Saccharomyces cerevisiae S288C: one gene and its partners. The gene in region 1 interacts genetically with each later gene. Each region holds a gene or a part of one and is shown on either strand. Other genes may lie near its edges.

The links.
Region 2: mutations in PDC6 (region 1) and MPH3 together harm fitness more than expected from each alone (negative genetic interaction), as found in Saccharomyces cerevisiae (one large-scale study listed by BioGRID).
Region 3: mutations in PDC6 (region 1) and DSE2 together harm fitness more than expected from each alone (negative genetic interaction), as found in Saccharomyces cerevisiae (one large-scale study listed by BioGRID).

What each region holds. Positions count from the first base shown.
Region 1 is NC_001139.9:650,214-654,883, forward strand, and holds PDC6 (indolepyruvate decarboxylase 6), read right to left. Parts: upstream 2,769-4,670; coding exon 1,077-2,768; downstream 1-1,076. Other genes in the region: lipid-binding protein PIL1, read right to left, coding at 1-404; CTT1 (catalase T), read left to right, coding at 4,421-4,670. UniProt on the Saccharomyces cerevisiae protein: Minor of three pyruvate decarboxylases (PDC1, PDC5, PDC6) implicated in the nonoxidative conversion of pyruvate to acetaldehyde and carbon dioxide during alcoholic fermentation.
Region 2 is NC_001142.9:737,347-742,171, forward strand, and holds MPH3 (alpha-glucoside permease), read right to left. Parts: upstream 2,471-4,825; coding exon 662-2,470; downstream 1-661. UniProt on the Saccharomyces cerevisiae protein: High-affinity uptake of maltose and maltotriose. Also transports alpha-methylglucoside, glucose and turanose but not melezitose or trehalose.
Region 3 is NC_001140.6:383,287-387,148, forward strand, and holds DSE2 (Dse2p), read left to right. Parts: upstream 1-2,223; coding exon 2,224-3,201; downstream 3,202-3,862. Other genes in the region: CHS7 (Chs7p), read left to right, coding at 252-1,202.

The sequences.
Region 1 (4,670 bases):
ATATCTCTGATGGACTTTAGAGTCAATCTGTATTGGTCATAACGATCGATAAATTGGTCGTCTAATTCACTAACTTCATAGATCAAGACACCTAATTTATCAGTGATGTCGGAAACATCGTCATCGTTTTCCAACCCCCAAATAGACAATTGCTTAGCAGCGTCACGTCTTTCGTTGGCTGTCAATTCCATGGACCTCAAAACATTCTTTTCAATCTTAACCAATTGAGACAACTTTCTGGATAATTCTGGGCCAAAAGCTCCAGCAGCACTTCTCCTAAAGCTGTAAGCTAGACCACCCTTCCCAAAGAATCTACCTTTGGTTGTAGATGGTGGTGGCGGTGGGTTCTGTAATTGAGAGGCGGTAGGTGCCCTGGAATTTCTTAAAGAGTAAGTTCTGTGCATACTATATACTTGATGCTGATATATTCTTCACTTTGCAATACTGCTAACAATGGAAAAGTATAGGTAAATAAATGTGCAGATGCAGATGTGAGACAAATTTTCTTTCTTGGGTTGGGATAATCAACGCATTGTACCCAAACGACGGGAAACAAGGAAGGATGCAGAATGAGCACTTGTTATTTATAAAAAGACACGGGAGGGGGAATCCCGTCTTTCGTCCGTCGGAGCCAAAGAGATGAGCCAAAGCAGAAAAACAGGGGACGCCGCCCTTCTTCCGTCCCGTGCGTGAGGGGGGCGCGGCCATTCGGTTTTTGCAATATGACCTGTGGGCCAAAAATCGAAAAAAAAAAAAATAAGAGGCGGCTGCGGAATTTTATAAGACAAGCGCAGGGCCAAAGAAAAAATAATAATTGACGTGGCTGAACAACAGTCTCTCCCCACCCCTTTCCAAAAAGGGGAATGAAATACGAGTTCTTTTTCCCAATTGGTAAATATTCAACAAGAGACGCGCAGTACGTAACATGCGAATTGCGTAATTCACGGCGATAACGTAGTATTTAGATTTAGTATAATTTGAACCGATGTATTTATTTGTCTGATTGATTTATGTATTCAAACTGTGTAAGTTTATTTATTTGCAACAATAATTCGTTTGAGTACACTACTAATGGCTTATTGTTTGGCATTTGTAGCGGCAGTCAATTGCGCTTGTTTGATCAAACTTTCCGGAGCATCAAAGACGGGCAGTTTCAGTTCAATTAGTCTGATCACCGAGTTTTTCTGGAACTCTGAATCAGTGGTTAAGGCATCCCACTCACCCGTAGTGGCGATCTTGTGATTTTCGTACTTTTTCGCACCAAATGCGGGCAACAGGGCGAGGTGATCCCAGGTCTGGATTTCGTTGTACTCTGCGTGAGGCCCATGAATCAGCTTTTCGATAGTGTAGCCGTCGTTGTTAAGGACAAAAAGATACGGCTTTAACCCCCATCTGATCATGGTGGAGATTTCTTGGACGGTTAACTGCAAAGACCCGTCACCTATGAATAAGATGACTCTCTTGTTGGGGTCAATCTCCTCAGCGGCAAAGGCAGCACCTAAAGTTGCTCCTGTTGTAAAACCGATGGACCCCCACAACACCTGCGAGATACCGTAGGCGTCCTTAGGAAAGATAGTTTGATTGATACCGAAGGCAGACGTGCCGGTCTCGGAAATGATAACATCACCTTCTTGCAAGAATTTGGACAATTCGTTCCACAACCACTCTTGTTTCAAGGGCGTGCTAGCAGGTACACCTTTGTTTGCGGGAGTTTTGGTTGGTACGGGAACGCTCTTGTAGCCCTTAACAACATCGGGAATAACCTTCAGTAAGTTTTGTAGTGCAAATTTCATTTGTACACCGAGGAACGTAGCGTTCTTCACCTTTACGTAATCGGAATGAAACTCCACTACATTTTTAGTCTTGTAGGAGTAGGAAAACGAACCTGTGTTAAAATCAGAGAGCAAAGCACCGACCGAAAGGATCAAATCAGCCGACTCAACGGCCTGTTTCACGTCTTGTTTGGACAGCGTTCCCACATAAACACCGCCATATCTGGGATGCTGTTCATCTATTGACCCTTTACCTAGAGGTGTCACAAAAGCTGGGAATTGCGTCAAATCAATTAACTTCTGGGTTTCTTTTTTAACGTTGTGCCTAGAAGCACAGGCATCCGATAGTATAACAGGGTTTTTCGAATTCTGGATCAATTCTAGTACGGTATCAATAACTTCCTTTTCAGCTTCGGGATCGTTAGGTTTTAATGATAGATCAATCGGTTTTTCCAAAAGAGAACCAGGAACCTTTAGATCTACCAAATTCGCTGGCAACCCCAAGTAGCTAGGCCTTTGTGTTATAAATGTTGTCCTGATCAACCTATCGATTTCTGAAGGGGCTGTAGCAATGTCTGTAATCATTGATGTAGTTTCTGAGATATTGGCGGACATTCTGTGAAAAACGGTAAAATCACCGTTACCCAAGGTATGATGCAACAACAATTGCTTAGCCTGAGCGGAGATAGAGGGGACACCAACAACATGCAGTACACCGACGTGTTCTGCATACGATCCTGCAATACCATTCAAGGCGGATAATTCACCTACGCCAAAAGTAGTTACCAGCACAGATAAACCCTTGATGCGTGCGTAACCATCGGCGGCATAGGCGGCGTTCAGCTCATTTGCATTACCAGCCCATCTCAATCCATCTACCTCGTAAATCTTGTCCAATAGGGACAAGTTGAAGTCGCCTGGTAGCCCAAAAATGGTGTTAACATTAACTTGCTTCAATCTTTCAAATAAGTATTTTCCAAGAGTAATTTCAGACATTTTGTTGGCAATATGTTTTTGCTATATTACGTGGGTTTTTTATTTATACTGTATATAAAAGAGGACTGCAATAGCACAAGATTAAGATAGAATGGCTTCAAACAGCCGCCTTTTATACATATTGGTAAAAGCTCGCGAATCGCACCATATCCCTTATCCTGTAATCAAATCGATCTAGGTGCAGATACAGATCAATTCATAAAAAGAAATTGAAGCACCAGTTTATCACTACTACACTATCTTTTTCTTTTTTTTTTTTTTTTGCGAAGTTTCGCCCTTTGTTCAATATCACTTGATAAGTTGTGGGCTTTTTCTGTCACTCATTCGGCTTAAAAAGTATTCGTTCTTTTGTGTTTTATGAAAAGGGAACGTGATATAAAAAAACATCCTTTGGTGTGGGACATGGGCTTTTGTTTAGAGAATGGTTATCACTACCGCCCCCACCCTTGAAAGCCACAGAAAATGAAAAAGTATGTGAATAAGGTGTGAACTCTATAACATTTTGGCCAAATGCCACAGCCGATCTGCATATTCCAATGGACATAATGCAACAACAATTGATGTCACATTCTCTTACACACTTCGATTGGTCCGTACGTAGTACTTTTTACATAACTGACTCAGGCGTTTCCTTCATTGAAATGCTCATCTATTGCCAAGTACATAGAATCCACAGTGCATAGGTTTATGAGATGCTTGGAAGATGTACGATCGCCTGCACTATATTAGTATATTTTTTCAGGCTTTACAAAACCAGAAAGAAATTACCGACTGTAATACTTAATTTCCATGATTTTAATCGTATGGTCCGTGAGGAAAGAGGAATTTTAGGTAAAAAAAAACCTTTGTCTATCAAAACATAAAAGAAAAGAAAAAAATTAAATTGAATAAGTCAGCTTTTTAGCATGACCACAGTAATAATAGTAATACGATATCAGCATGAGCTGCTAAACATTAAGAATTTTTGAATTGTGTTCGCTGGTAAGAGAAAATAGGGTAGCATTAGTTGCGAGATGGAAAATTAAAATATGCGTCATAAGGTATTTTCGACGTTGAAGATTAGGGGTTGCAAGTCCGAGAACTAAACTGCCTTCACGACGTCAAACTTATTGTATGGTGACAATAAAACGAATTCAAGAAGCCAGAGATGATGAGGAACCGATGACGAGGCACATGGGGATAGAACCTCCGTTATCTCCATTCCGCGTTGAGCAGCTCTCCTGCGTGCTTTCACAGAGACCCTAAGCCAAGACCGCGGACGGCCCTCTTTTTCAAGGGGATCACCGGTAAGGGGCCAAGCGGTGAAATTGCGTATTGTTTCCTCCTATCAATGATGAGTACGTCGCCGATCCAGAAGGGTTATTATTGTCATTGCCAGTACTATTCGTATGCTGAAAAAGTATAGTTCACTTCACCCTCTGGCTGCAGGCTAGCCTAGCCGATAATGCCCCCGACTCCCTCAACAGGTAGAATTTGTAAGGATTCGACGTAGCCTGGACACATTGTGCATTTATCGTATCCCCTACTGCTACACGTATAAGAAGTCGTTGCTTTACCTCTATTCCAGAACTCAATCTTGTCGTTACTTGCCCTTATTAAAAAAATCCTTCTCTTGTCTCATGCCAATAAGATCAATCAGCTCAGCTTCACAAATGAACGTGTTCGGTAAAAAAGAAGAAAAGCAAGAAAAAGTTTACTCTCTACAAAACGGTTTTCCGTACTCTCATCACCCATACGCTTCTCAATACTCAAGACCAGACGGCCCTATCTTACTGCAAGACTTCCATCTGCTGGAAAATATTGCAAGTTTCGATAGAGAAAGAGTTCCGGAGCGTGTAGTCCATGCCAAAGGTGGTGGTTGTAGACTGGAGTTCGAACTAACAGATTCTTTGAGTGATATTA
Region 2 (4,825 bases), on another chromosome or scaffold:
TGAGAGCAACTCTCCCGTATATGCTAAGAATATTGTCGCTTATTAGGATTGAAAGATAGGATCAATGAGGAATAAATGTTACCCTTTTTTCTTAAAAATGTAAGAGGAAATTATGAAATATACTCTGATTTGTTTATTATTGATTAAGAACAATATAATAACCGCTCTGGTAGCTACTGTACATATAATTTGACGGCATATATTGCTCATATATAAAACTACCGCATTACTTCCAGTTGATAGATTTTTAACTCAGTTTCAGTACTGCCAGAACTGCTCATTCGAGATTTTTTCTATTTTTAGAATAGGTAAAATTGCACTTAAATGTATAAGGGATGTACGAAGTGAGTGCCCAGACTGTTACTATGACAATTAAACTAATGTCGATGACCATTTGTTTCGACAACTCCATCTTCATTTTCTTCACGCGCCATACTCGGATGAGAAAGAATCTTTTCTCTAACTATACATTTCCAAACGCAATGATCAAGAAGAAAGCTAAATGTTACTTTGAGTTCAATTACTGAGACATGTCATGGGAATATGAGGAAGAAACAAATCTACGTGTATTATACTCCGTAACATGTAGAGTAAATACCATAGTTACCTATTTACCTGTGTCGATAAATGTTCATTAGCTCATAAGTGATGGGATACATTGCTATTCCTCTGCAATGGAAGCTTCGATATCTCCCTTGGGGTCGTTATGAGAGACGTCTTTAGGGGGGGTTTTGACAACAAACGGATCTACTTTCGTCGATTTGAACTTTCTTGCAGAAACTCCAAGTTTAAATAACTCATTTATTTCCACGAAAGTCTTTCCGGCAGTTTCTGGTAGGTCAACCACAGCCCAGATTAAAGTACAAAAGCATAAGACACCCCAGAAAAAGCCTGACTTAGCGCCCCAGTTCCACTTCTTAGAGTTCAGTTGGTATAAGATGAGAACGCTACATATGATACTGACCACATTATAAGTGTTACGTGCTAGAATGATTGTTTTCGTTCTTAGTCTTGAAGATGGCATTTCAGAGACTAGGCAAAAAACGACCGGGGCAATTCCTAAATTGTAAAAAAATGCTACAGCCATTAAAAGAGAACCACTTCCCATTTTGGAACCGTGCGTACTTGAGCACCCCAAACCGCCAATAATGAAAAAAACAATGGTTTGGAAGGCTAGTCCAAAAGCGTAAAGGTCATATCTACCAAAATACTTTGACGCCCACCAAGATAGAAATGTAGCACAAATACCGAGACAGTATTGAATAATACTAAAAGTGAAGGACATTTCAGTACTAACGCCAGCCTTTTCGTAAAAGTAAGTTGAATAACCTATTAGTATTGAACCACAAGTGGCTTGACCAGCCCAGCAGAGACAAGTAATTCTCGTTCTTCTTCGATTAATCTTGTCTTCAAAACAATCACTATAGGAGCCTTCTTTACTTGTGAGTCTCTTTTCCTTATCTATAGTCACTTTTATTTTGTCCACCTCCAGAGTTACTAGTATTTCTTTTTCAGGTCCCTTGCCGCTTAAAGTTCTTCTAAGTGATCTCCTTGCCTCATCAAACCTTCCTTTTTTAACTAGCCACCATGGAGATTCAGGTGCAAAAAAAATTCCCAGTGCTAAAGGAACTGGCAAAATCCACTGTAGGGCAAATGGTAGTTTATATCCTAATTCTGAATCCGCATATTTTTTTTGAGAATTTTTCATGATTCCAGCTGCAAAAAGTTGTCCAAATAACCAGCACAAGTTTGAATAGGTTGTAAGGTAATATCTCAGAGCCAATGGGCATATTTCAGAAGCGTAAGACACCGTCAAACACTGAAAACAACCCCATGGCATCCCGCACAATGCTTGTCCCACAGCAATCATGCCTAAACTATTGCAAAAGTACAGTATAAAAGTGAAGGCAGCTAAAAAAAACAATGCAATAATCAATGTGTAACGATTTCCAACAAGATCCACGGAGGGCCCCGTTAGCTGTAGCCCCACAATTTCACCTGCCATATAACATAAGGTCAGCCCGATTTGCCATGACGCTGAAATTTCCCATTCTCCAGTTTTGTCATTTTGTGAGCCAAACTTTCTCTGAAAAATAGGCAAGGCGTAGAAAGCTCCAAGAATAGCTGTGTCGTACCCTTCCATGATTAAAGTTGTAGAGACCAATAGTGACCAAGCTGCTGCCTTGGGATATGTATTCAATGCTGTCGCAAGTGGCATTCCTCTTTCACTTTCGTCTGCCTCCTTGGCATCCTCAGTAGCGTCAAATATCTCTGTTATTACTTTATTGCTATCGCTTGGCGCTCTTGTATCCGGACTGAACTCAACATGAACAATATCTAAGCCGTCCTTCTTAGTTTGATCATCCATTTCTATCCAGCTGGGTTCATGCGACTTAGCCTTTCCTGGGTATACATTCGAGTCACTTGTATTTTCCTTTCTTCTGTTTATGAGAAAAGATAAGTTTTTCATAGCTAGGTAATGGCTTTACAAGACCTGTATCTCTATTTGTGTTAGATTTTGTGATGGTAATCTTTGCATAATAATTCCAAGAACAGGCCTCTAAGAATTACAAACAACGATTACAGATGACCCCACCTTTTTTTTATATTCTATAGTCAACACTATCATGAACTTGTGGCATACTCATTGCATATGGCTGACAGGATGTCAAATGCTCCCTTCTACGAAAGATTCTGTGCACGTAAAACGCGGGGTGTGGAATGTCGCGATGACTCTCGAGCAGAGAAAAAGACAAACATATAACGAGCTGATTCCTCTCCAGAAGAACAAAGCCAACATTGATTCAAACTGAGGACTTAATATGATTGACTCTCTGGAAACTGCAACAGTGTGATTATAGATCAGAAATTCATGCTGTAATTTTAGTATATCGACCTGTCGCGATGTTGCAAGCGTGACAGATCTATACATATTTCGCTAAAACTGTCGGTAAAATACCAACACGCTGCACTGCAGACCACAGATTCGAACCGAAGCATATTTTCAGAAATTTACGAGAGGTCTTTATAGTCACCAAAATATCCAAATTGAGTAATTAGAAAGAAAAAAACACACATACTGTAGTCCACAACCTGTTTACGGACAGGTTCTGGCTGATGGGATAACCACTCTACCTGACTGCTCTCCTACTTCATATTTACCTCCCGAACAACGTGAAATCTTTTTGCTTGGAGAAAAACAAGTAAAAAGTATAAATGGAGATGAAAGATCCACCAATAAATTCCAGCTTGATTTTTCAACATATGATGACAAATGTGAGTGCTAAATCTAAGTCGTAAGACAAATAAGAACTTTTACCATAATCAGTATCCTGGGAAAAGTGGTAGAACTACAGTTTATCAAGCTTACCCACAAAGCATTAAATATGCTCCCACAATAACCTCTGGAGTGATATAACAGGTATGACTTTCAAGTTATAGTATATTAAAGATCTTGGAATTGGGCGGTTTAGGCTTGTTCATTTCAAAGCTCGAGTAAGATTTTAGTATACTTTTCCCTATAGAAATATTTCCGACATAGATTTTTTAATATAAGCACTTCTTCCATGACATTTTGTTTCAGTTATCTCTCTTTCGTCGCTACTTGAGAAAACTATATGGTTGTACGAAAAAGAAATGGCCAAAATATTCTTTGGGCCTTATTAATCTCATTACTATTGTAAGAGTTGGCCCTTAATTTTATAGAAACACTGTTTTAAGGCCAAAAAAAAAAGATGCCAAACATAGAAAGGAAATGTCGCTTTACTTGGCTAATTGGCTCTAAATCACAGGTCTTAATACTCGAAACGCCATTGATGTACTGTGCACAATTTCCATTCCGGGTTAATTATAAAGATATCAGCGTTTATTTTCATCCATGGCAATGAAAATTGTAAAATAATCATCATCAAAATTTGATATGGTTGCAATAGAGGGAATGATTTGATTTTTATGAGACTTATACGCATCACCCTGTATTTTTGCAATTACGGCGATTTATAAAACTTATAACGGAATTTAAGAGTTTCATCCTACCAAGCGTAATCATAGATATAAAAATTCTATTGTGCAACTCATATTTGTCATTGAAACAGGGACTTTTCTCCGAAGTTTAATATCTAGTATGAGCTATACACCTTAACCACTCCTTACTTGTAAAGGTACGAAAAAGTTGTCGTTTTAGCGCGCACTTACTGATGGATGCTGAATCAGTATAGTGTTTGACTGCGGCAGTAAACTACTCACAGTAGCAGGCACGTACTATGGAAGTTGTTTCGAGGCGCATGATAGGAAAAAGGGTACCAAAAAGGATTAGAAGAGAAAATTTTCATAATGGGAAGTCACTGACGAGGGTTGGTGGTTATCCGTTTTAAAAAAATATTATGCAATCAAGCTACAACATCCTGTAAATTTTGTAGTAGAAAACTTCTATTATAACGGTTTCTGAATTGGCATATAAAATAGTCAAAAGGTGATCTTTAAATCAACGGTAAAAACAGTGAAGCTGGTCCTGTTGTAGAATCGCCATTTCCTTTGTGGTGATAGGTCTTTAAGTAAAGTAATGGTGAATTTAGTTAATTTGTTAACCAACGCGACTCCAGCTAACTGAGCGCATGGTCTAATACAGTTCCGTTAGAAACATATTTTCATTTTGATGAGGTATCAGTATTTGGCGACTATTATTTGAATGCATCTGTAATCTGGATGAATGAAACCTTTTATGAAACCAGAATTGTCCCAGCTATTATCAATGTCCGTGAATGGCTTGACCATATGGAGGCAAACGATCCTTCACCTAGTGTAACTAACCCACTCGAAACTTCAA
Region 3 (3,862 bases), on another chromosome or scaffold:
TTGCCCGCTTCGCTTTCTTAAAACGGTTAAATATTGAAAAAGTTTCACAAGACACGAAATCAAAAAGGATCCATTTTGGTATAAAAATAGCATATTGCATAACTTAACTAAAAAGATTAAAAAAAGTCAAAGCTACACTGGCATACTTTGAACTGTTTTTTCAAAGCTGTCTCCACGTGGAAAGTTTATTTCATCAAAACTATTATCAAAAATTGTGGTTTTGTTAATACAAAAGCTGATATATATATAATATGGCATTTAGTGATTTTGCTGCCATATGCTCAAAGACCCCGTTGCCATTATGTTCGGTAATAAAGTCTAAAACCCATCTAATACTTTCGAACTCAACAATTATACATGATTTTGATCCTTTAAATTTGAATGTCGGTGTACTGCCACGCTGTTATGCTCGGTCGATTGATCTTGCCAATACAGTCATCTTTGATGTCGGGAACGCATTCATAAATATTGGTGCTCTAGGTGTCATTTTAATCATACTTTATAACATAAGACAGAAGTATACTGCTATTGGCAGGTCTGAATATCTCTACTTTTTCCAACTAACATTGCTATTGATAATATTTACCTTGGTGGTAGACTGTGGTGTATCTCCCCCCGGCTCTGGGTCATATCCATACTTCGTGGCTATACAAATAGGACTGGCGGGTGCATGTTGCTGGGCCTTATTGATAATCGGGTTTTTAGGTTTCAATTTATGGGAAGATGGGACTACAAAGTCCATGCTGTTGGTCCGTGGAACGTCCATGCTAGGATTCATAGCCAATTTTTTAGCCTCTATTTTAACCTTCAAAGCATGGATCACCGACCATAAAGTAGCAACAATGAACGCTTCAGGGATGATTGTCGTCGTTTACATAATAAACGCCATTTTCTTATTCGTTTTCGTTATTTGTCAATTACTGGTATCCCTATTGGTAGTTCGAAACTTATGGGTCACAGGAGCTATCTTTTTGGGGCTATTTTTCTTTGTAGCAGGCCAGGTATTGGTTTATGCCTTCTCTACACAAATTTGTGAAGGGTTCAAGCACTACTTAGATGGCCTCTTTTTTGGAAGCATCTGTAATGTGTTCACATTAATGATGGTTTACAAGACTTGGGATATGACTACCGACGACGACTTGGAATTTGGTGTAAGTGTTAGCAAGGACGGTGACGTGGTGTATGATAATGGATTTATGTGAAATGCTTCTTTTTTCTATTACCATATATAGAAAATAGGTGTATACTATTAGTTTAATGTAATAAGCAGGACTATGACAAACCAAAGAGTGAAAGTAGCCGTTTCCACGTTTTAACGGCTTGTGTACACTTTGACAGTCAATCAGCGTAGTGACTTCTTTTATCAGCGGAAACAACCATATCCATAAAAGAAACGTGATGGTCGTTCCCGTAGTTTATTAAGTAAGATGACAAATTATCCTTCTTTAGTCAATTGAAAACAAAACTTCTTAATCTGTTTCCAATGTTTTAAAGTCGCTCATATGTTCATGACTACTTTTCCATGAGAGGGTTCTACGAAAAGCATCATCTTATTTTCGCAACGCTGCGGGTTTAGGCCTTTCCGCTGGTCTCTTTTCTGTTTACAGTTCTGCCCGAATGTAAACAAATACTTTGCGAAAAGTAAATAATGTATTCTGAAAAAAAAAAAGAGAACTGTGAACAATGCTTGATAGTTGTAGGAATATCTTAGAAGAAAGGGGATAGATTATCTGGAAAATCGTTTGAATAAAATAAGAACCAGTAATTCATTCGTTTAAATTGGAAAAACAAAACATAAAAGAACCAGCAATGTCTTGGTTGCCTGTTAATGTAAAAAGTTCTCCCAAAAGATGACAGGAAACTCGTTAACTCATACTCGGTATATAAGAGGAAACTTATCTAATGTTTCATTCATTCTTCCTCTTCTGCTTATTCGATGTCTATTGAAAAACTTCAAGTAAACCAGCAATATCGACTTCCATTAAGTAGACAGCGAGCCTGAAACAAAGAATATACTGTTTCAATTCCAACTAAAGCCACTCCCTCAAGCGTTATTATTTTTTGAATTATATTTTCGGGTTTTAAGCTAACTCTAGTCATTCCTTACTACATTTTATTGTAACTCTTCAGTAGAGCTAACCACAGTCATTCCTTAATATTTTTTAACACAGATCTCTTTCACAGAGTAGAAATAAAGCCACTCCTTTAACAAATTACAAAGAAATGAAATTTAATTTTTCTACAATTTTCAATATCTTATTCTTTTTATTCACCTTAATTGAAGCCAACAGCAATGGGGAAACAGTCAAACTTATTACTTCTGATGGTATTGTTTACAGTTATGCTGTCTACACAAAGACTCTTGCGCCGGCAAGGGTTGTGGTTAAAACGATTTCATATACTACTACAAGGGTATATCCGATTACTTTAGCTAATTCCGTCGTTTCTTCCACTACTGAAAAGATAACAGAGGTTTCAACGGTGTCAGCTTCAGAACAAGTTAGTGCTACTCAAACAAACTCATTGGTTTCTACTTCTACTGTTTCCACTATCAGTCCAACGATTTCATCTGGTTCTTCAACATCCTCTAGCTCTACATACGATATCGAATCATCTCAAAGTATCGAATCGTCAGGTACATCTTCCGCTACAGCCGAACCATCTGCGTCTTCAGGTTTTCGTTTGACTTCTAGTTCTGCTTTTGTTTCATCTACTGCACCTTTCTCTTCCCAACTTTCTTCATCTTCATCTTCTGAAACATCATCCTCATCATTTTCAACATCATCATCATCTGCCCCTCTTTCCTTAACTTCTTCTTCTTCTTCTTCTTCTTCTTTCGCCACTATTATTACCTTGGCACCATCGAGCTCAAAAAGCGGAAACTCTCAACTAACTTTGGCGTCATCGTCTTCCACTTCCGCAGTTGAGTCATCCCAAACAGGGTCCACTATAGCAAGAACTACCTCTACACTGGTACCCTCTTCTAGCGTAGATACAACGTCTAGAGCAACGACATCCATGCCATTAGAATCGTCTTCTACGCAATCGATATCCGTCTCCAGCTCGGATGGCACTTGTTACGTTTTTTATGATGATGATGACTACTATAGTACTGTCTACTTAACTAACCCGTCTCAATCCGTTGATGCCGCCACCACTATAACTAGTACAAACACAATTTATGCTACGGTTACCATTTAGCGCTTAGGCATAATGGTGGTGCATTCTTTTCTATTTGTTTTCTCAGGCGTATTTTTTCCATTATTTTTTGTTAAAAATAGTAAAAAGACAGTATTATTTATTCATTTTTCCTCGTGTTGTTATAACGACTAAGTTTCCTAATTTCTTTATTTTGTTTTTTTCTCATGATCTTTTCATTTTGTAGTTTCAACTATTATATACAATGTGTATACTATAACTTAATTTTATTAGTTACCTCTTACTAAGGATACTGATTCTTCCCCACTCATTTCATGAATTCATCACAAGTCTTTAGTATTTTTCATATGGAAATTACATCACCTATATATATCAAAATGTTCCGGCGAGTACATTGTCAGAATCTACAGTTTTTCCTGATATGAGCAGTGATATGGAGAAAGAGACACTAAATAAGAACAAAATATTGCCGTAGATTTAATGATTCAATCATGTGTGTCAAATTTGTTCTCCATTGCATCTTCCTATTTGACATTTGTCTCATGACCACGACATTGTACATTACCAGGTAAGGCTACAATTAGCCTCACCGATGTAACGTTATATAACGCTGCGGTCGTAGAATATGATTTTTCTGAATTTTAATTTTTTTTTTTTTTTTTTTCATTTCTTTAACATCTAAAATAGATTTTAGAATCAGAAA